Linked DNA regions of Struthio camelus. The protein of the gene in region 2 interacts with the protein of the main gene of each other region in a biochemical or structural test. Links are inferred from orthologs where the notes say so. Each region holds a gene or a part of one and is shown on either strand. Other genes may lie near its edges.

What was found.
Region 1: the proteins of STAM (region 2) and ARRB1 form a complex in vitro, tested with the Homo sapiens proteins (2 studies listed by BioGRID). The link is inferred for Struthio camelus from reciprocal best matches to the Homo sapiens genes STAM and ARRB1.
Region 3: the proteins of STAM (region 2) and USP8 form a complex in vitro, tested with the Homo sapiens proteins (2 studies listed by BioGRID). The link is inferred for Struthio camelus from reciprocal best matches to the Homo sapiens genes STAM and USP8.

What each region holds. Positions count from the first base shown.
Region 1 is NC_090942.1:223,716,356-223,723,554, reverse strand, and holds the start of ARRB1 (beta-arrestin-1), read left to right. Parts: upstream 1-4,109; 5' UTR 4,110-4,152; coding exon 4,153-4,385; intron 4,386-6,311; coding exon 6,312-6,342; intron 6,343-7,199. UniProt on the Homo sapiens protein: Functions in regulating agonist-mediated G-protein coupled receptor (GPCR) signaling by mediating both receptor desensitization and resensitization processes.
Region 2 is NC_090943.1:23,830,081-23,837,627, forward strand, and holds the start of STAM (signal transducing adapter molecule 1), read right to left. Parts: upstream 3,015-7,547; 5' UTR 2,910-3,014; coding exon 2,870-2,909; intron 2,448-2,869; exon of another isoform or gene 2,439-2,447; coding exon of another isoform or gene 2,405-2,438; intron 1-2,404. UniProt on the Homo sapiens protein: Involved in intracellular signal transduction mediated by cytokines and growth factors. Upon IL-2 and GM-CSL stimulation, it plays a role in signaling leading to DNA synthesis and MYC induction. May also play a role in T-cell development.
Region 3 is NC_090953.1:12,457,595-12,465,302, forward strand, and holds the start of USP8 (ubiquitin carboxyl-terminal hydrolase 8), read left to right. Parts: upstream 1-4,685; 5' UTR 4,686-4,851; intron 4,852-5,353; exon of another isoform or gene 5,354-5,628; intron 5,629-7,708. Other genes in the region: GABPB1 (GA-binding protein subunit beta-1), read right to left, coding at 723-725. UniProt on the Homo sapiens protein: Hydrolase that can remove conjugated ubiquitin from proteins and therefore plays an important regulatory role at the level of protein turnover by preventing degradation. Converts both 'Lys-48' an 'Lys-63'-linked ubiquitin chains.

The DNA.
Region 1 (7,199 bases), on a different chromosome or scaffold from region 2:
TGCGTGCTCAAAAGGGTGTGTGTGGTCACGTGGGGGCTGTGCATGCACACGGGTGTATGCGTGAGTGTGTGCTCACATGCGTGCTTGTGTGTGCACGGGGGGTGTGTGTGAATAGAGGTTTATGTGTGTGTTCACAGGGGTGTGCATGCACGTGGGGGTGCTCGCGTGGGGGCACGTGCTCACGGGTGGGTGGGTGTGCGTGCACGGGGTGGGTGTGCGTGCATACAGGAGTGTGTGTGCACAGGAGTGTGTGTGCACGCAGGTATGTGGGTTGGTGCACAGGGGTGTATGCGCACATGGTGTATGCGCAGGGACTCAGGGCTGGGTGGGCACTCGTGGGGTGTGCTTGCACACCGGTGTGTGCATGCACGCAGAGGCCTGGGGGGGTGTGCGCATGGGGGGGGTGTGTGCACAGGGGTCTGCGTGTGCTCGTGCACAGGGGGGTGTGCATGCACATAGGAGTTTGTGCGTGTGTGTGCGCAGGGGTTTGTGTGTGTGTGCACATGGGTGCGTGTGTGCACATGGGTAGTGTGTGTGTGCACAGGGGCCTGCGTGTGCTCGTGCACATGGGGGTGTGCATGCACACAGGGGGCTGTGTGTGTGTGTGTGTGTGTGCGCTTGTGCACAGGGGGGTGTGCATGCACACAGGGGTTTGCGTGTGTGTGAGCATGCACATGGGTAGTGTGTGTGTGCACAGGGGTCTGCGTGTGCTCGTGCACATGGGGGTGTGCATGCACACAGGCGGCTGTGTGTGTGTGTGCGCTTGTGCACAGGGGTGTGTGCATGCACACTGGGGTTTGTGTGTGTGTGTGCACATGGGTGCGTGCGTGTGTGCACATGGGTAGTGTGTGTGTGCACAGGGGCCTGCGTGTGCTCGTGCACATGGGGGTGTGCATGCACGCAAGTGTTTGCGTGGGGGGGTGCGTGCGTACAGGGGTGTGTGTGTGTGCGTGTGTGTGTGTGCACACATGGGGGGTGTGCACAGGGGTGTGCGTATGCTTGTGCCCATGGGCGTGTGCATGCACACAAGTGTTTGCGTGCACGCATGGGGGGGGGTGCGTGCGTACAGTCGTGTGCGTGGGTGTGTGTGCACCCGTGCACGCGGGGGGCGCGTGATTGTGCACACAGCGCTGGCTTTGGGGGGGGGGGGGGCGCTCGCTCTCCCGGAGAGGAGGGGCGGGGGGGGGGGGGGGGGGCGCTGTGCGTGCACGCACCCGGGCCGCGTGTGTGCGCATGCACGGCTGCCTGCGCGCGGGGGCGCGCGTGTGCGTGTCCGCCCTCCCCAACGGAACCTCCACGCCGCGCGGGTGGGTGGCTGCGCGCCCCCGCGTGCGTGTCCGCGGCCCGCCCCGCCCGCGCCGCGCCGCTCGGGGGCGGGCGGAGGCGGCCGCGCCGCGCCGCGGGGCTGCGCTCTGCAGCGCCGAGCCGAGCCGGGCCGAGCCGAGCCGGGACAGCCGAGCCGAGCCGGGCCGGACCGGGACAGCCGAGCCGAGCCGGGACAGCCGAGCCGAGCCGAGCCGGGCCGAGCCGGGACAGCCGAGCCGAGCCGAGCCGGACCGGGACAGCCGAGCCGAGCCGAGCCGAGCCGAGCCGGGACAGCCGAGCCGGGCCGAGCCGGGACAGCGGCGCCGAGCGGAGCCGAGCCGAGCCGGGCCGAGCCGGGACAGCGGCGCCGAGCGGAGCCGAGCGGAGCCGAACCGAGCGGAGCCGAGCCGAGCCGATCCGGACCGGGACAGCCGAGCGGAGCCGAGCGGAGCCGAGCGGAGCGGAGCCGAACCGAGCCGAGCCGGACCGGGCCAGCCGAGCGGAGCGGAGCCGGACCGGGCGCAGCTGCCGCCCAGTAATTTTCCAAGCTCGGGCCGGCGCTGCCCTGCGAGCGGCCGCGATCCGCGGGGGCCATGGGAGACAAAGGCACCCGGTGAGTGCGGGGGTCGGGGGCCGGGGGGGGCGGCGGGGAGGCGCCGGCAGGGGCCGCGCCGCTTTCCCACGCCGCCGCTTATGCGCAGGGGAAACTGAGGCACGGCGACGCGGGGTCGCACGGTGCCGGCGGCCGCGGTCAAGGCGGAAACGGCTGCGCTTCCCTCGAGCGGGGCTGCGGGCTGCCCTGGTCCCCGTGTGCCCCCCCTAGGTCCCCCCCCACCCCGCGTCGGTGGCGCTCGGGGCGCGCTGCCCGCCGTGGGAACGGCGGCGCCGGCCGCCCCTCCCCGTGCGCTCGGGCCCGCAGCCTGCTGCTCCGAGCAGCCGCCTCGCCTGCCACATCTGGAGGCTGTCGGCGTGCTGGAGGCGGCAGCTCTCGCCTGCGCGCAAACCCCCCTTTCCTGAAACGCAGCTGCAGCTGGGGAGGGGCGAGGGATGCAGCTGGCAGGGCTGCTGCAAGAGCCGCTTTTGTCGCAGCCCGGGGGCCTCATCCGGCAGCCCCGAGGGGCGGCGGGGAGCAGAGGCGGGAGCCCCCGGGCTGGGCGTGAGGGCAGCGCCCGCTCTCGCGGCGTCGAGCACGCGAGCCGCGGGGCAGGCCGCCGCCGCGCCTTTCGGGAGCGCGTCGGGGGGGTTGCGCGACCCCGATGGGGCGTCGCGCGTCCCGGGAGCGCTGGGCCGAGCCCGGTGCCCGCTGGGCGCTGCGCCTAGAGGCATCGGCGACGCGGACGTTATTACTCTCTTTCACCCGGACCCGGCGCCTGGACGTTGCTGGGGTGGGGGCACACGAGCCGTCGCTGCTGAGAAACGCTTTTGCTTTTGGGTTCGGGTGGGAACCAGGAGCAACCGGGCCCCGTTGTCCTGGTCGAGGGGTGTTTTGGGCCTGGAGGTCTGGCGGGGGGGGGGACGTGGGGGAGCCGTCGTGCCCGTTGTCACCCTGCGGGGCTTCGAGCATCCTGCGGATGGGAGACCCTGCCTGGCCTGGGCCCTGGCTAGGGGCGCGCGTCGATGCGGCGAACGCGCGTGCGGGGGCGCCCGTCGCGCACCGCCGGCGTCGGCTGCCCGGGCGGCCGGGCCCCGAGGCCGAGGTGGGCAGGGAGGGTGGGCCCCGCTTTTGCAAGGGTTTGGGCCCCGCTTTTGCAAGGGTTTGGCCAACCTCTTTGCAGAACCTTCCGGAAAGGCTGCATGGATGTGGGGTCGCAGGACGTGATTTGGGGGCCGGATGCGCCCGGCTCTGGCTGTCTCCCCTTGCCCTGGCATCAGTTTTTTTCCGGAAAAAAAGTATGTTTTAGCCTCTAGAGCGTGAGAACAGCCCCTTCGCCCCCCACGGTGGCCGGCCAGCGGCTCGCGGGGGTCCCCGCTGCCGGCCTTCGAAGGAGCCCGCCGGGGATGGGGCGAACATCCGCATCGCGTTGCCCCGGGGAGCGCCGGTGCGAGGGTTTCCCGGGAGCCGCGGGGCGTCTGCCGGAGCAGACGAGGGCGCGCGGGGATTCGCGTGACAGATCTCTTCTCATTCACCCGGGGGGGGGGGGCTTTGGTTCCCCCCCCCCCCCCCAAAAAGCCCGGGAGCCGGCGCGGAGGGCGGCCGGGTCGGCTGCGGCTTTGCACGGCGAGGTCGCGGGCTTGCAGAGCCCCGGTTTGCTTTTAGACTCCGGAAACACCCGAAAAACCTCATTTCTTCCAATTCCTTCGTGGGCTTGCAGGGCCGCAGAGCCGCGCGCTGGGCCGCCTCCGTTGCGGGGGGGGGGGGGGAACAGCAAGTTTTCAGCTGGCTCGGGCGGCGGGGCCGCAGCGTTTCGCACGCGCGGCCGCGCTGAACGTCGCCCGTGCCGCCGGCGTGAGGGTTTCCCTGCCCGCGGGCGGCGGGTGCCCCCGGGGCCGGCGCGGGCGTCAGCGCACCGCGTTTCCCAGCCGCCTGCCGAGCGCCCTTCAAAGCCCTGCGCTGCGGGAAGCGTCCGCAGGCGGAGTGAGAGCCGTGCGCTCGCCGGCGCCGCCGCGTCGCCCCCTTATTTACGGCTTCTCCGAGGGTGCGACCCCCCCCCCCCCCCCAAATCCCGGCCTGGATGCTGCCGACAGAGCCGAGGCGGCCGCGGGAACGGGCCGGGGAGGGGGGGCGCCGAGGCGGGCCGAGCTGTCCGGGCTGCGGCGGGGAGAGAGGCAGCGCTGGCCGCTGGCCCGGGGGGAGACTCGTGCTTCCTGGCCTTTGTTTGCAGAACAAACTCTCCTAATAACAGCAGGATGCAGACATCCCGGATCCGAGAGCCAAGTCGCTTCCTTGCCAAGGAGGCCCGGAGCGAGGAGCTGCTTGGGCCCGGCCGGGCGATGTTGTCGACGAGCTGGTCGCGGGAAACGTGTTGCGACGGGGTGGGCGTCAGGCGGGGCAGGCGAGCGAAGGGCAGCGCGGGAAGGGCCGGCAGCGAGGGGGTCCTGGCCGCTGCTCCGCGCGGGCAGCTGCGGATGTGCGGCTGCAGGTGTGCCCGGGCCGAGGGCCAGCGCGGTTCCCGCGGTGGCGGGGGTGGTTCCCGCGGTGGCGGCAGTGGTTCCCGTGGTGGTGGCAGCGGTTCCCGTGGTCGCAGTGGTGGTTCCCGTGGTCGCGCTGGTTCTTGCAGTGGCAGCAGTTCCCATGGTGGCGGCGGTGGCAGTTCCCGCGGCGGCGGCGGTTCCCGCGGTCGTGGCAGTTCCCGTGCTGGCGGCGGTGGCAGTTCCCGCGGCGGCAGTGGTTCCCGCGGTCATGGCAGTTCCCATGGTGGCGGTGGCGGCGGTTCCCGCGGTGGCGGCGGTTCCCGCGGTCGTGGCAGTTCCCATGGTGGCGGCGGTGGCGGTTCCCGCGGTCGTGGCAGTTCCCGTGGTGGCGGCGGTGGTTCCCGCGGCGGTTCCTGCGCGCCGCCCTGCTCGGCCCCGTTTCCCGTGGCAGGAGCGCGGCCACCAGCGCCGATAATTAATAGGGAGGAGGAAATAGCGGGGTGGGAAGCGCTGGCCGATTCGATTCACCCAGCCTCGGGCAGGCACGTGGCCGTCGACCCGGCGCCCGAGCCGGGGGATTTCTCCTTTCCTCCCGGCTCGGCCGAGCGTCGGGCGCGGGAAACCCCCGGAGGAGAGGGATCGCCGGCTTTTGGCGCGGGGCGACGGCGTCCGGGACGCGGGGGAGCGACGAGCCGCGTGGCCCCGCGCGCGGCGGCGGCTCTTCCCGCGCGCCCGGCCGGATGCTGGCCTGACCGCGGAGCGCGCGGTGCGGTTGCTCGACGCGTTGTCCCCCGAGGTCCCCTCTCGGGCCGCGGAGCTAATGGGATCGAGCCGGCAGCCACATTAACATGAGGCCTGGTGAAACTCGCTCCTCTGCCCGGCGTTCAGGGGAAATCGATGGCGTTGCTTTCCTGCTCCAGCTTCGCCACGCTTTAAAAAAATAAAAGGACCCGGGGTGGGGGGCCGATAGCGGGGGCGCCTGGCGTTTGCAGCCGCCTCTCACGTCCCCCAGGGATGGGGACGGAGAGGGGCAATGCCAGGCGCCCGCGGCCACGCTGACGTCCCTCGTGCAGCTTAACCCGGGGTTCGGTTACGAAACGGGGCAGCTGAGCTGCAAGAGCAGGTCTTTGTGCGCCTGTCGAAGGGGCGGCCGAGGTCACTGCGGCCTCCGCCGGTGACCGGAGCCGGCGGCCCGCGCGCCGTGCTGGGCGCTGCCTGCGGCCTCGCTGCAGCCTGGCTCCGGGCTGGCGCTCGGCGCTGCCCCGTCTCTGCCCAGGCTCCCTGGGCGCCTTGCGGAGGCTCGGGCCGTCTCGGCGCGCCCTGCGAGGCAGAAACCTGCCCTTTCCGGGCCCTCAGGCAGCGCTTTGGGCAGCGCGGCCTTTGCGCGGCAGCTTGCGCGGCACCTGGTGCAACAGGGCCTTTGCACGGCACCTTGCGCGGCACCTGGTGCAACAGGGCCTTTGCACGGCACCTTGCACGGCACCTTGCACGGCACCTTGCGCAGCAGGGCCTTTGCACGGCACCTTGCACGGCACCTTGCGCAGCAGGGCCTTTGCACGGCACCTTGCACGGCACCTTGCACGGCACCTTGCGCAGCAGGGCCTTTGCACGGCACCTTGCACGGCACCTTGCGCAGCAGCGGTGCCGGGCAGCCCCTGGGCATGCCGCGGCGCTGGCGGGGGCCCCGCGCTCCAGGACCCCCCCTCGGCGAGAGCTCTGCCCGGCGGCGGCTCGCTGGGCTGCCGTCGCGCCCCTCGGACTGGGCGCGCGCCCAGCCGTGCCGCGCTGGGGGGGGGGGAGCGCGGGGCCGCCAGCCCCCTGTTTCGCCGACGTTTCTAGGAGAGGCTGCGCGGCGGGGGGAGCTGGCCCGGGCACCTCGCTCCTCCGTGCCTCGGTTTCCCCGCTAAGGCGCCTTCCCCTCTCCTCTTTTGCAGGGTGTTCAAGAAAGCCAGCCCCAACGGGAAGGTGAGCGGGGGCCGCGGGGGTCCGGGGGGGCGCTGGGGTCCCACCGCTGCTGGAGCCTGGACCGCACGGGGGCTGCCGGGGCGGTGGGGGGGAGATGGGGGGTGATGGGGGGGGTCTGCATTTCTCTGCCGTCCTCGATTTTTCTTTGCGCTCGGAGCTGGACGTCGCTCCGAGACCCTTTCTGGGCTGTCGGACATGTACGGCCGGGGAGGGAGGGAGGGAGGGAGGGAAGGAAAGGAGGAGAAGGAGGGAGGGATGGACGAAGGGAAGCACAGAGGAAAGGAAGGGAGAGAGCGAGGGAGGGAGAAGGGAAGGGAAGAGGAAGAGGAGGGAAGAAGGGAAAGAGAAAGAAGAAGGGAGGAAGGGAGAGAGGGAGGGAAGGAGGGAGGGAGATGGGAAGGAGGGAGGAAGGCAAGGAGGGAGATGGAAAGGAAAGAGGAAGGAAGGGAGAAAAGAGGGAGGGCGGAAGGAAGGGAAGGAGGAAGGAAGATGGGAAGGAGGGAGGAAGGAGCAGCCGCTTCGCCGGGCGGCAGATCCCTCCGGGAAGGGTTCGCTCCCGCTCTCCGTCCCCGCGGGAGCCTCCGGGCAGGCGGAGGAAAAACCCCGGCCCGGTCCGGAGGGCGCGATGGCGGGCTGCTGCCGGGCTGGGGGCTAACGAGCTCCGGGCGGGATTGCCGGGGCCGGGCGGCGGGACGCAAACCGGATTTGCGCGACTCGCCCCCTGGCCTGAGCCCCGCAGCCGTGTGACGAGCGCGTGGGGTCTCTGCACGCGCCGCCAACCTGCCCGATGCCGGACACCCAGCGCCTCGAAAAACGCCTAAATCTGCCCCAAAAGGGGCCGGTGCAAAGAGCGGGCG
Region 2 (7,547 bases):
TTCTGTTAAAATATTCCTAAATAAGGTAGAAAGAGGGTTCAGATCACAAACAAATTATTTGGGCTTCATCCAGAGATGTGTACTCTTTGAAGATGACAATGGCTTACCATCTCAAATCTCTGGGCACCTTTACAACATTCGTTAATAGTGTTAGTTTAACCGCAGTCTTTAACAACACTCTTTTGCCAGCCACATCTACAGAAGAGGTATTCCCCCCCCTCCTTCAAAATCTCTGTACAAAGCTGACAGTAAATGGTAAGCTATCACGGATGACCAGCTTCCATACCATCAGCATGCTAACAGGACTGGGCAAATGCTGATGACTGGCCAGAGAGGCCAAGAAATTTCTCCTTCTGAACCTAGAGACACTTACACTCCTCAAACCAATTTAGTCCCAGATGAGTTCCTAGCAATCCATTGTCCTAAGCAATTCCAAAGTCATTTCCAGTTATTACACAGTGCTAATTGTCCAGTAGCTGAGAATACACAGCTATCACAGTAAAAATACTAACATCTACACCAATGTCCAGCTTCATACAACGAGATTAAGAACAGTTTTTGACTGCCTTCCTGCTTCAGGAATCTTGATTCTCATAGGAAAACTTTCTTGCTGAGCAAGAGCAAAAGCAGAGCACCCAAACTTTCATTCTGAGAAAGGAATTGAAAACACCGCCGCCGCAGGACAACTTTTTGAAGTTTTCCGAGAACACAAGAGCCTGCTCTACAGCTGATGTATCTTATGAAGCCTGCCAAGTTGTTCGTCGAGATAACAGCACGTTCCCAAGGGGCCTTGAGGAAGAAGGGCCTGGGGACTCTTTCCTGGAGACTTCATCGCTCCTATCTCCCTGGCACAAACACAGTCAAGCGATGAAAGAAGGCAGCAAGCCTCTGAAAGGAGGCTGCCACCAATCAAACAGTCTGCAGCTCCTTAGGTCTCCCTCAGGACCCCTAAGAAAAGGGGCTGCAATATAGCTGGAAGAAAGCTGTATTCATTCTTCGGGGAAAATCAACGCATTTGCTCACTATCTTCTCTTCCAAGAACAACATGGGACTAAGTAGTTATTTACTTGTGCTCATACGATACACAGAATAACGCTTTTGAAAAACGTCAGGTCTATTGGTGACTGGGCTAGGCAAGCACCGTAGCTAAGCTTACAGCACTGGCATTCTCTGCCACCAGAAAATAGTAAACAACCCATTCAAGTAACAGTTGGGTGCTACTACCCTGCATTACAAAACTTACAATGCTGACAAATATGATCTACCAGATTTAGCTCTATCTAAACCCACTCAAAGAGTCTGATCTTCACCGCTGCTAGACAGCTGCCTTAGAAATTAAAAGAGTAAACATTTACCAGATCTTCAGCTACCATTTTTTAGTCTGGTTTATTAATTCAAACCATTCTCACTGATAACCTTACCAATATGTCAATTCTCTAATGGTTCACAGAAAATTGGCAAGTCATGCAACCTCTTCCTCTTTCTCAGCTGACAAATTACACTAGAAGACAGCAGAAACATTAGGATAAAAAGATATATTACTTTTCAGAATAAGAAATTATTGACTTTACCACCAAGAAAGGTATAAACTAAAAGACAGCCTTCACCAGAAAAGATTGCAGTGTGCTTTACCATCCAAAATTGGAAGAAAAATGAGCTTTAAGTACGTGCTTTACTAAGATGCAAGATTCAGAATTCCTGCTAAAATAAATAAAAAATTTCAGTTTCATCTTCACTTATGCATAAGCTTCCCCCAAAAGATGCATGCTTTTAAAACATTTTTATTTTGAGGGGGTTTTGAGGAGCTAAAAGAATTAAACTGGAGCCCTGGCTTCTAAAGTAAAATAAATATTATGAAATGAATCACATATTTGTAATTAAAAGGTACAGCAGATACAAAATTATAAGGCTACCAATGAAATTGTTCCAAGAAACATATACAGTGTTACATTATTGAAAGGATATAAGTATGTGGGAGGAGGATTTATCCAAATAAGAGAAAACGCACCTCAATGTTATAATGTTCCCCAGAAAAAGTTTCTAGTTACATTTACAATAAAACAGAAGCAAGCATCAGGTAGGAGGTCAGCCATACTGCACAATCTCACATCAGACGGACAAAATAAATTTAAACCTGCTTATATGTTATTTTACTTTTGATCCAGATACATGTGCATTAAGCACAATTGTTGTCAAGTAGAAACCAGATATTTTGTCTCCATCTGGTTTGGCCCTGGAAGAAGTACGGTGGGGAGGAAACCCGATCACAGCATGTCAAGTTTCACTTGAAAGAGGGAGGAAAAAAAAAACCCTTCCGTGGAATTAATTTTAAAGCAGTAAACAGGCAACCCTTTGCCAATTCTTCCATGTTTGCTTTTGAAACAACTGTAGATGGGGCTTTTACTTGGCATCCTTCGGTAAGGCACCGCCATGAGCATTTCCTGCCAGTCCTGTTTTATCACGGCACAACGCAACTTCTGGGCAGCCCAGCCCGTCTCACCGGAGGCACCAGGCGGCCCGCAGAGCGCACAGGGCCGCGTTAGCCCAGGCCGCCCCGCGCCGACACCCACAGGCCGCAGCCGCCGCCGCCGCTGCCCGGGCCCCGCGGCGGCCCGGCCCGGCCCAGCCCGGCCCTGCTCGCTGCCGCCGGCCCGGCCCGGCCGCGCCGCCACACGCGGGAGGCGGGCGGGCGTGCGAGCGGGCGGCGGGCGCCGGCCGGGGCTGCCGGCAGCGGGGCGCGGCGCGGGGGCTGGGCAGCGGCGGCAGCCCCGGCCGGCCGGCCGGCGTGGGGGGGCGGGGGCCCCGGGCGGAGCAGGGGCCGGGGCCGGGGCAGGGCCAGGCGCGGGGCTACCCCGGGGGCGCCACTCACCCACATCCTGGTCGAAGGGGTTGGTGGCGAAGAGCGGCATCGCGGGGCGCGGCGGCGCGGGCGCGGGCCCCCGCTCCCCTCCCGGCAGCGGGCTGCAGCGGCGGCGGCGGCGGCGGCAGCTCCTGCTCCTCCTCCTCCTCCTCCTCCTCCCGCCCGGGGTACCTCCGCCGCCTCCTCGCAGGCCCGGGGAGCCAGCCCGCCCCGCGCGGCATGCTGGGAAAGCGGGGCCGGCCCCGCCGCCGCCACTGCTGCCGCCGCCCCGCGGCCCGGCGGGGGCGGCCCCGGCCCCGGCGCTTTGCGCGGCCCCGCCGCCCTCGGCAGGTGGGGCCCGGCCGGCCGCGCACCTCGCGGCGGGCGCCGGCGCCTCCCGTACCCTCCGCGCCGCCTCGTCCCGGCCCCGCTGCCCCCGGCAGGGCCGTTTCGGGGAGACAGGGCGAGTCAAATGGGGTTTGGGGGGTTTCTGTTTGTTTTTTTTTGGGGGGGGGTTGTTGTTTCTGCTGAGCTCTGTCATGCCTCCCCGGTTGGTAGGTGAGCCAGCGTCGTGCCCAGGCAAGCCTGATCTCTGTAGAAAAATTTCAGAGTTTTCCTGCACGTCGTGCTGACCTGGTGTTTGCATTGCTAATGTCAGCAGGCTTTTGAAATAAGTGACGTCTTACAAAGTTGCAAGCTGGTGGTTGTGATAGTGTTTCACAAGGTGGCATGGGACCATTGCGCTCGTGCGCAAGACTGACCACGTACTTACCAAAGGTCAGAGCGTGCTGAGATTAGGAACTAACAGCTGTCCGTAGAGCTTTAGTACCCCATGGCCTTGGGTTGCACGGTCTTGCTTCTTCACTTCATACAAATATCTTCACCAGCGTCGACAGAACTTCTCACGTGAGCAGAGTTTGACTCATAGACTATGACACGTTCTGCCTGTTCCTGGTACATAAAAGTCAGTCATTATCCTTAAGGGCTTTTAGTACTATTTAATTACTCTGGACTAACTGGGTAACAAGTTAAGCAAAAAGGTTGGGCCAGTGTGTGAGGGAAAAGTCAGAACATCTGGAAGAGCAGTATCAGCATATCCATCACAAACACACAAACAGGGATTGAAAAAAACACCACTGGTGTCTGCAGTGCAGAAACACGAGATGAAATCAATAGCAATAACAATGCTCAATAATGAATGTAATTGCATGCATTAGGCAGACTTTTGACACATTGAATGAAAACTACATATCAAGCCTCTTCCCGCAGGGACCTACAGTCATTAGGCGCTTCCTTTTTTGACTTAACAATTTTCCAGGACCTCAAGTTCTGCTTCTTTCCCTATCCGCAACAACTGTTTTCAGCAGTTGATGCAGCTCAGCATCGATCTGCTGCTTAAGAATTACTACTTTTAAGGAATTTGGTACTCCCCTTTTCTGGATTCTGCCTCAGTTCAAAGACCTTAGCGAGATATTCCCAGAGGATGCTTTACCTCCCCTTGGTTCATCATCCCCCCATTATGTCCACCCCAAAAGACACGTGGTGGAAGTTCTCAGAGCTTGTTTTAACCTCTCCTTTTTCATCCCTTCCCTCTGATGGGTTTCAAAATGAAATTGTAACAATCTTTCTAAAACAGGCACAGCTTTATATAGTAGTCCTGCAGTAAGAACAAGCATGTAAGACGCAAGGAACTTGGGCTTTAGATCTTCTTCAGCCAGAAAGAATCTCAACCCTGCTCTACTTTCCAGGCAAGCCACCGATTCAAGGTTATTCGATGTTATGAGAAGGGCAGACAGGACCGAGAGAGCATCTTAAGGCTCTTTAGTCTTAGCCCATGATTTGTTTCTGTAACATTATTTTCCCGCTTGAACACGCTCTCTACTTCCCTGGTGTAAAGTACACGACTCCCTTGGGTACTCTGCAATATGTCGTATATTCCTCTTTCCCTTGGCCCATGGCTTTTGCGTTCTGCCATAGTACAACAATGGGTGATGGTTCAAGCACTCTTCTGTCAAGTGTGGGTTTTGCCTTCTCAGAGAGTGAAGGCTATTGAAACCAGCTTTTCTACTTCATGTATGAGTAGTATAATTAGCATACTAATAAAAAAGGTGTGTCAAGCTTCCTTTATTGAATGTAGTTCAAAATGTTTGTATTATTTCCTACTGTATTTGAAATGGGACTCACGCTGCCTAATTTAGCTATCTAAAAGTAAAGAATCTAATCTAAGCGAAGTGTCTCAAATTGCATCTAATTCAGTGTAACTGCAGCTGATACAGAATAAAGCAGTAGTGCTCTCCCTGTGCCCACAACTATGTGCTGCCGCCACATTTCTTGTATTAGACTTGGAATTTGATCCAGTTCATTTGTGGCTGCATAATCAGCTGATCCAACTGAAAACTACTTCACTGCAGAAAAGTCCCCTATTGGATCATCTTACTGGTCTGACTCACCTTACAACTAGATCCCAGGCAAGGGAAGAGGTGGGAATGATTGCCTGGGGATAGTATACCGGCTTCACCAGAGTAGGTCAACAAAACCAGGCATCTCCAGGGGATGGATGATTCATCTGCTCTAATTCAGACATGTATCTGGAGATGCCCTCTGCAAAGGTCTGACTTTATTGATTTCATAGAGGAGCTTGTCTGCCCAACTTCAAAAGAGCTAAAATAACATTACATAAATTCCCAGTTTGGTACGTGTTTTCTGACTTAGGACCTGTCTCCAACAGCAAATTTAAAGTACTTAAATATATATATATATATATACACATGAATTTTCTCTAAACAAAAACAATCTCAGTTCATTGATCCATATAGATCCTTTTTTGGCACATTTCATCTTTCATATAGTACTGTTGTTCAGATACTGCCAAGTGATAGAGGCATATATTCAGTTAATTGCCAGTGCAGCTTACTCACTTCCTGGATTTTAAGGACATGACATACTTTTAAATTTGATTTCAATATGAGTCACTATCAAATAATTTGCCCCCGATATGCATTCAAGTCACCTCACAAGCTATATCTCACATTTACTGACAGTAGTAGCGATATTAGAAAATATTGCTTAAAAACTGTTTTTTTGTATGTAAAGATATTTCTGTAGGGAATGCTATGATACAAAGGGCGTTTGAAAGAGTTACATTTTTATGTAAAAATAAAAGGGGAGCAAAGTAATTTTTTCTCAGTATTTCCAATATTTTTGAACTTACTGTAGAGTGTATTTAGGGGATATGTCACAGTTTATTTAGTAACTCATGCAGAATTAGAATGGTTTTAAAAAGGATCACTCTATATACAGGGTAAGTATATGCAATACATGAATTGTCTGATTTAACCGCAGTGAAGGTCAAAGGCCCCTGGAAGTCAGTGTCACTGATAACATTCTAAAATCAGAAGCAGCAAAAGAAGTCTAGTTTCTTCTTTTTTGGCAAGACTGACAACATTTGCTAACAGAATATTTTTTGAAGATGAACACCTGTCCTCTGAGAAATTTATCAAAACCAACAACCTATTTCTTTAAGTCCACTGGATCTAATGCTGACAAAGCAATTGGGAAACTACATACAAAGATACCCTCAGTGATCATTTCTTTTAACTTTACTTTTTATTTTTACTCTATAAAGCAGGTAGCATTTTGATGTCTTAAGTAGCTGGAGGGGGGGTTGTTTATATAATTTCTCTATTTTGGTTTTCTTAAATTGTGACAACAGTTTGGTCATAAGATTAGTTCTTGATTCTGGTAATATACAACAAATCACTTGCCTATAGTATTCTAGAGGGAGAAGGGTGCTTGGAAACAGTAACTTGTAAATTGCAATCTGTTAGGGAAGTTCTAAGTCTGTTTTTTAAAACTGCTTAGTTGACTCATATCTGCATTAGACAAGCATATTTTTAGAGGAAGATAAAAACATTATGTCCACGGAGGGAAGGTCTACTGGAGCAGTTCGCTGGAGGAATATTATACTTGGCATCCCCATTTATTTTAGTGCATATTAGCAGTCTGAGTTTGCTAGCTGCTGCACTGCAAAGATTAGGTGTATAACCCAAAAGCCATGCCAATACACTGTTAGCAAGGAGGCAGACGTGAAGACCAACAGCTGTCTCGGGGATCTATCTCACTGGTCTCTATCTTAACTGCATTTTCATGGTAGTCCACTGCATACATTGCTTTTAGAACTAAAAGCTAGGCAGAAAAGAAAATCAAAGCAAAAGAGGAAGGTTCAGAATGGAGAAAGTGCCAGCAGTCCATTTAATCACAGTTCTCGTCTTTGACAGGGCCAGTACAAGATGTTTTGGAACGCATACAAGATTCCTTAATGCATAGTAATACAATGATATGGCTAAGGCAAATTTCTCCCAATCACAGGCAACATGTAGATGTTTTAAGCACTGAACTAAACTGTACTAAAGGGCATATCTCTGTTTTATCTCTTTAAGGTCTACTTCTGTCTTGATACGACTAAGTTAAATGCCTTAATATTTTCAAGTACCCAAGTTGCATAGCTTAATTGTGGTATTCTTACCCATTTCATTATATAAGAGAATATATTAAATGCATCAATTCAGTAAGTCGGGTGACCTGCATTATACAAGAAGTCAGGCTAAGATTATTTTAATTTTGCTTTTGGGTCTTAATATTTATGAATTATGCAAGTGGGATTATACGAAGCATATCGCCGTAGTTCCCTCAGATCCATGTAACCTGG
Region 3 (7,708 bases), on a different chromosome or scaffold from region 2:
ACACAAGGCCCGGAGAGAGGCGGGGGCCGCGCCGGGCGCCCCTCGGCCCCAGCGCGCCGGCCGGGCCGTGGGGCAACGCAGCTCCGCGGCGGCGGCGGCGGCCCCCGCCTCGCCCCGGCCGGCCTCCGCGCCCCGGCGGCGCCCCCGCGCCCGGCGCGGCCCCTCCGCCGCGCAGGCCGCGCTCGGCGCCCCGCGGCGCGGCCCAGGCGGGCGGCGGCGCGGCCGGCGCCCCCCGCGCGGCGGGGTCCCCGGAAGGCCGGCCAGCGCGCCCGCTCTCCCCGACAGGAAATCCTGGCTGGGCTGGGCGCTGCGGAGGGAGCCGCGGCGCCGGGTTCCGGGGGAAGTGGAATTATTTTTTACCAGCGAAGAGATCAACTTCCACATCCGGTAACAGGGCCCTATACAAAGGCGCAGACTGACCTGGAAAAGCTTGGCCGGCCCGGGGGGGTGGGGGAGAGACGGGGCGCGGGGATGGGGGCCTTACCGTGCTGCCGGCCCGGCCGCCGCCGCCCGCGACAACAGCCAGGGGCGCCGGAGGCCGCCGCTCATCGGCGCCCAAAAGCCCCACACAAAAGTCCCCGCTGCGCCTGGCGGAGGGACACGGCGGGCGGAGGGGAGGGGCGCGCCGAGCCCAGCGCTGCCCCGCCGCCAGCGGGGCCGGGCTGCGCGGGGCCGCGCGGGGCCGCCGCGCCGGCAGCGCTTGGCGGGGCGCCGGCACTTACCATGGGGCGCAGGTATTATCTTATTACACAAATATCCCCGACAAAAGGGGCTCGGCGGAGGGATACGGCCTCGGCGCCGCCTGCCGCGCATGCGCGGCGGCGCCGGGAAAGGCGGGGGAAGCGGCGGCTGGAGGCGCCCGCCATGTTCTGTGGCGCTTCCCGCCCGGCGGGGGGCAGGGCGCTGGCCGCCTGCCGCCGGCCCTGACGGGGCTGCGGCGGGTGGCCGCGAGCTGTCACGGGGCCACGGGGGAGGGCGGGAGCCTCCCTGCGAGCAGTTTACGAAAGAGGGAAGGGGGGGCCCTGCCAGTCCTTAAAAGGGGTCCTGTTAAGGCTCCCTTTTGCCGCAGGGGCAGCTTTGACTGCCCTGTGGCTGCTGGGGCTCTGCCTGTGCTCCCGGGCCCTGCTGCCCTGGCTGACCTGTCTGAGCAAGGTTTTTAGCCACGCTTTGGGGTCATAAAGACAGGACCTGGTGTGGGTGACAAGTCGCAAGTGATCCTAAACCATCACTGCCCCTGCCTGTGCCAAACAGCGCTGGCCTTGACCTCAAACTCACGTCGATCCTGATAACCTCAGTGCACGAAATGTTTTTCTGAGATTTCTTTCAACCAAGCTGCAAAAAGCTCGAGCTGGGATTCCCCACAGAACTATTGTGTCAGGCAGCCTCCAGTACTGCTGTAAAGGGTAGATCCCCTGACCTACATCCTTCAGGAAAGGGATCAGTCACAGAACTCTCCTTTAGTTGTTTTTGGAGATGGTCAGGCCACCTAGATAATTAGGGGAATATTTGTCACAACGATGTGCTCATAGCCATTATTTTTTGCCCTTGACTTCCCTAAATGTCTTTAAAGAAAATGCAGATAACGAGCTTGCAAAGAACTAACGTTGCCTCAGAAATGCTACAGGACTGAATCCTCTACTCACCACTGGAACTGATCCGTTTAGTGCGGGACAGACTGTCCCACACCAAGTTCAGAAACAAGTTGACTTTTCCTGCTCCTACATGGGAGGGAGAACTGAGGCCTCCTGTCTGAGCGTACGGGCTGTGCTCACGCTGCTGCCCGCTGTGTCCACAGGACTCCGTCCAGTTCTCGTGGACTTCTTGCTTTGGGTTAGGTTAACGGGACGAATTCTCCACACGCTTTTTGGAAAGGCAGTTAAATCCTCCTTTATAGGTCACCTCGCTCTGGGACCTGTTGACATGTCCGAGAGGCGGTTTACTTATTTTTCTAGGACTGATCAGCCAGAAGGGGGCACTAAAAACAAGTTGAAACCTCGTTCTTGCAGCTTTTGCCATCAGAGTAAAGAAACTTTAGCTCCAAAATTCATTACATCTCTTTTCCATTATTGATAAGTGTTTTGTGCCTCTAAACAAAAGCATTTCCCCTGGCATATTACGAGTTGTCATTTACGCAGTAGCAGTTGATTATACAGAAAACGTTACTATGTCCTCACAGGTGTGCAGCAACCAGCAGGAATTTTTTGTGGTCTTGGCTGCAGTAGTATGGAAAAAATGAAATTATCTGTATCACAGAAAATCTTTCATAGAGTTAGGAATGCAGTATACATTTCGTTAAAGTTCCATTAACACCGTATGTGAGTTTTCATTATCATGGGTACAACGTCCATCTTTGAAATAGTAATCTCTAATGGTATTTTCATTTGACAGAATTCATCAAAAGTACATTTAAGAGAGAGACATTTGATGTCTAATATAGGCAAGTCAAAACACAGTTTGCATCTGTGAAGTATGTTGTTTCTTTTCCTTTATTTTATCCAGTCATGTGAGAATAATTTTTAGGTCTTGTTAACCAAATAATCTAACAAACACATTCTGATTTCTGCTGTTTTAAATTCCTTTGTTTATTTGTTTGGTACTGCTACACAGTAACATATGTGCTGATAGGAAAATGTGTTTCAACCTAAGGCAACACCTAAGGCAGCATGTTATAACACAGTCAGCATAGTAGCATGTTCTAACAAGTTCTTGAATAAGGTAAAACTAATTGCATAGGCAGGTCCTCCATGATACCTTTCTATATATGGTTTGGTTTTGCCCGTACAAGTAAGACCAAAAGACCTTCTGACACAATTCCTTCATATAAGTTAAATATTAAAAGGGACACTGAGCCCATTTTGGACAGCAGCTAGTATGATACTCAGCATTAATTTGCACGCTTAGGACGCAGTCTTTGACATCAGGGAACTTAAATCTTTTCTTGTTGCTATCATAACTTTCTTGCATGACTTCCTACCGATCTCTCCTAAAACAATTGGAGCAGTTCTGAAAAAAGTATTGTACAAGACCATAGTGTTATTAATAGCATTCAATCCTGTTGAATGTTGTTAGAATATTTCAACTCACTTTGATATTAATCTCTATGAATGCATAATATAGGAGAAGGCATAGAGCTGTACTTAACTTGTCCCAGGAGCTTTTGCATATCTGGTCTGCAAAGTAGAGATGGAGGATATTATTTGAGCCTTTCATGATACCTGATACCAACCAGCATTACAGTACCATGAAGTATTGTGATACGATTCAGCCTTCTGGACAATTACTCAATAGAGTTTTGTAGAGTTTTGGAGGGTTACATGAAGACAAGCATCCTTCTCCTTCTGTCCATCTTCGTTAACTTCAGTTTCCCAGCCCACCTGCTCTTCCTGAGGGAGAGGGGGATCTCCCCACCAGCTTCATTCTATGCTGGATCCTGCAGCACAAAACGGTGTTAGCACCCACTCTTCTCTCCCCACCTCTCTGAGCACAGATGCTCTTCCCTGGCCCTGTTCTGCCCCAGCACTTTGCAGGAAAGACCACAGCCCACCTCCATCATCTCTGCCCCTCCGCTGCTGAAGGAAAGACGCAGTGCAGATCGCACCGCCCAGGGCTTGGCGGCAGTGCTGAGGGGGTGCACAGCACTAACCTCACAGATGCTGCAATAGTATCCGCAGCTAATATTTCGTTATTGTGGATCTTTAAAATCATACTTACAGTATCAGTATGTAACCCATTGTTATGGCAAAATGGTATGTTGTGGATGCCGTATATGTGCACACTTCACACAAAGGATTACTTTGCCAGTCTCTGCAAGCATTAAGTGATCTGAGCTTGAGCATGCTTCAAGGATACACTATTAAAAGGCATGCTGAAACAAGAAACGTAAACGTGTGAAATACTGGTAACAGGCCATCTTCTCTAGTCTACAAGGTAGACTGAAAAAAAAAAAAACCAATAAATGGCCAAGGGAAACTGCTCCAGTGCACAAGATCTTTCCATTGGCAAAATCACAGAATCACAGAATGGTTGAGGTCGGGAGGGACCTCTGGAGATCACCTAGTCCAACCCCCCTGCTCAAGCAGGGTCACCTCGAGCACGTTGTCCAGCATCGCGTCCAGGCGGGTTTTGATTATCTCCAGGGAAGGAGACTCCACCACCTCTCTGGGCTACCTGGTCCAGTGTTCAGCCACCCTCACAGGAAAGAAGTTTTTCCTCGTGTTCAGACGGAACTTCCTGTGTTTCAGTTTGTGCCCGTTGCCGCTTGTCCTGTTGCTGGGCACCAGTGAGAAGGGTCTGGCCCCATCCTCTTAACACCTTCCCTTTAGATCCTTGCACACATTGATCAGATCGCAAAAACGGAGCAGCAGATTGCAGTATCTTCGTTACATTCCCCCACCGCTAGGCAGGTAGGGGCAAGACGGGTAACGTGGCGGGACACCGCGTCGTCCTCCTGCCTGCGTGAGATCTCGACGACCCGACCCGCCCCACCGACCGCCACGGGAACCAGCCGCGGCAGCACCCCCTCCCCTCGCTGCTCCCAGCGTTTCAAACCCCGCGGCACGGTCAGGCCGGCACACGCTTGCCGCCCCTGAGGTAGGCGTGAGGTGCGGCCGCCGTCGCGCTCCCCTGCCCCGCCCCGCCCCGCCCCCGGCCGCTCTGGCGGCGCCGCCGCCGATCCCCCCGCCCGCGCAGGGCGGCGGAGAGTCCCCGCCCCCGGGGGGAGCGGCGGCCCGGGGCGGGCGCTGCCGCCGAGTTCCGCCTCCGCAGCCATGGCCGCGTAGCGTCTCCTCGGCCGCCGCGCTCGGACATGGCCTGCCGCGGGCCGGCGGGCTGAGGCAGCGCGATCCCGCCGCGGTGAGTGCGGGAGGAGTGCGGAGGCCGGGCGGGAGGCGGGCGGCCGGGGGGGCGCCCTTGCGGGGGAGCCCCGGGCCCGGCGCCGCCGCGCGGAGCGGAGCCGGGGGCGGCCGAGGGCGCGCCGCGCTGCGCGGAGGCCCGGCGGGTGCCGGCGCTGCCGCGAGCCCTGCGGCCCGGCCGCGCCGCGGTGACCTTGGGCAGCCCGCAGCCCCCGGGGAAGAGCGGGCGGGGCGGGAGCGGTGCCCGCGCCGAGGGCCGCGGCGCCGGAGAAGCCCTGGCCGTGGCCTGGCGCCGGGCCGCGGCGCCCGTTACCGCGGGCCTGGCGCGGCGCAGGGCTGCCAGCCGGCTTTAACCTGTTCGTAACCGTGCAGGAGCGTTAAACCTCGCCTTCCCCTCCCCCGCTTTCCATTACCTACGCTGCTCGTGCACGTTGGGCGGATTTCAAGTAGCTTTTTAATCTAAATAAAGTGACGCTGCTTTTTTTTTTCTTTTAAAAACGTAGATTGCTTAACTCTCAAACTTCCCCTATAAAACCTAACCTTTTAAAATAACTTCGTCGTGAACTACCCTCCTCCTCCCCACCCCGCAGAAGTCAGTGTTAGTTGAACTGTTGACTGTTGGATCAGCAAACGCTGTCAGAAACGATCTTGCTACGACGCTATGAGAGGGGTCCCAAAGCTTTGCCGCGGAGGTCGTTCGTTTCAAAACGGTACGTGGCCCAAGACAGACCCACGCTGTGCAACTGCTACGATGACTGACAGCACCCAGCAAACAGGCGTAAGTTTAGGTGCTCCGGGGCAGCGTGCTGGCCGCGCTAGGAGGGGCCCCAGCGATTATAATCTGCCTCTGCGCATTAAGTTGTAGGACCGAGGTCTGTAGCTTTAACAGTACGAGAGCCTGCAAGAAATGCATATGGCTCACAGAGATAAATGTACTGATTGAATTTTAAGATGCAGTCATGTTTAAGTGCTGTATCTCTAGGTTAATACTGATATTAAGAAAACCAACCCCCTGTGTACAGAATACAAGTAATAAAACTTAATTGCAAAAGAACTGAAAAACTTCATGCCTGTGAGAAAGCCACTTCTTTGCTGAAGTCTTGGACACAAAAATAAGTGCAATACTTTATTACATACCTGAATTGATGGGTGCACAGTACTTACCATGTCAGTTCAGACCGCCTTAGCGTGTGCTACTTGCAACATAACTGCTTCTGTGCGTTGTTCTGGCTATGGTCATTCCACTTACAGGTTACTCATATCCTTAATAAAACAGTCATAATAATTAGATGTAGCAAAACCTGTTATCAAGAGGTATGTTTCTCTGTCAGTGTAAAACTATCCATTTTAAGTATTTTGAATGGCCATCAATATCCACGCATGATTTCCCTTGTATTTTTTGGATATCCACCTTATTTTCAGTGCTCTTAAGTATAAAAAAGGAGATGGAGACAATGCTTCAGCCATGGTTTAGGATAAATAGATCCAGACTTTGATCTTCATTTTCAGGAAGAAGGTTGGTAAACATGAAACAGGTCATTCCCACCTCCTCACAGAGTTGATTAATAGTAGATTTAGGTATTATGACTTGAATCACTTCTTGCGTTTACGGTTTTATGATCCAGTTTTCTCCTCTTGCTGGGGAGGGAACTATTCTCTTTCCCTTGTGGATGTATGAAAGAGCCACACGTATTATTTGGTGGGTTCACTTACGCCTCGGTTTTGCCGTTGTATTGCTACGTTGATCAGAAGCGACGGGGAAATGGAACGCTCGCAAAAGCGAGCGTAACCTAATCAACGCAGACTGGACCAGCAACAGTTTCTCCTGATTAAATTGATATGAAATTCCTGATCAAAAGTACAGTTCAGTTGCTACTCCTCTAGTGGAAACAAACACAGATGCAGTATGTACTTCACAGTAGTTGGTCTTTCTCCGTGCACTTTGCTGCTGTCTGTTTACTACTCCTGAACTTCATTTGTGCAATTTATTTTGCTAGAGGAAGTATTGAGACCAATAAAATTAGGAATGGGATATATGCAAAAACTTAGGTTCAAAATCAGCTGCTTATATGTATATATAAAGGAGCAGACTTTGATTCTGAAATCCTAAAGTCTTCCCAACACCTACTCAATTCTGACAGGGAACAGAGCTCATTCATTTGAGGTAGCAAATGCTAAAGGGTAAAGGCTAGCAGGCCAATAACAAGTTTCTATTACATGGAAATGAATTGTCAGTAAATAGCTACAGAACTTGACTTCAAAACAATAATCAGAATAGAATGTCTGATGACAGTAAGATAAAAAGATGAGACCCACAGTGGATAAAAGGAAGTGAGAGAGTAGTTGGAAAAAACTTTTGGAAAGTAAAAGGAGAAGTGAGAGTAGTTAGCAAAAGTTTCTATTGAATCTTAGAAGCAAGGAGGAGTAAGTGCAGTGAATGAAGAAACTCGCGTCCGAGTGCGAAAGTGAGCAGTTCTTCTGGATTTCAGAAGATGATGATTCTGGTGCCTGGCCCTTACCCATCAGATGTTTCTTGTGTCAAATACAGACAGTTTGTTTCATGAACTGGTTTTTCTCGCACCGATTTCTATAAGATTACTAGCAGTAAGGCGGCAGCAAACTGCAGTTCTTTAAGAAGTGGCTAGAGACTGGTATGAGGTGAGGAGGAGGGAATCTGGGCTTATGCTAAGAGACAAGGAAGAACTTGTTGATGAACTAGAATGGATGTTAGCTGCCATAGGGCACCCAGCCTATGGCTGTACGCTTGCTCAGAACATACAGCAACAGAACGATTTACTACTGCTTAGGAGGAGAGCGAGGGAGAGAAGTGGGAGGAGGGGGGCTCATGCTGTTCTTGA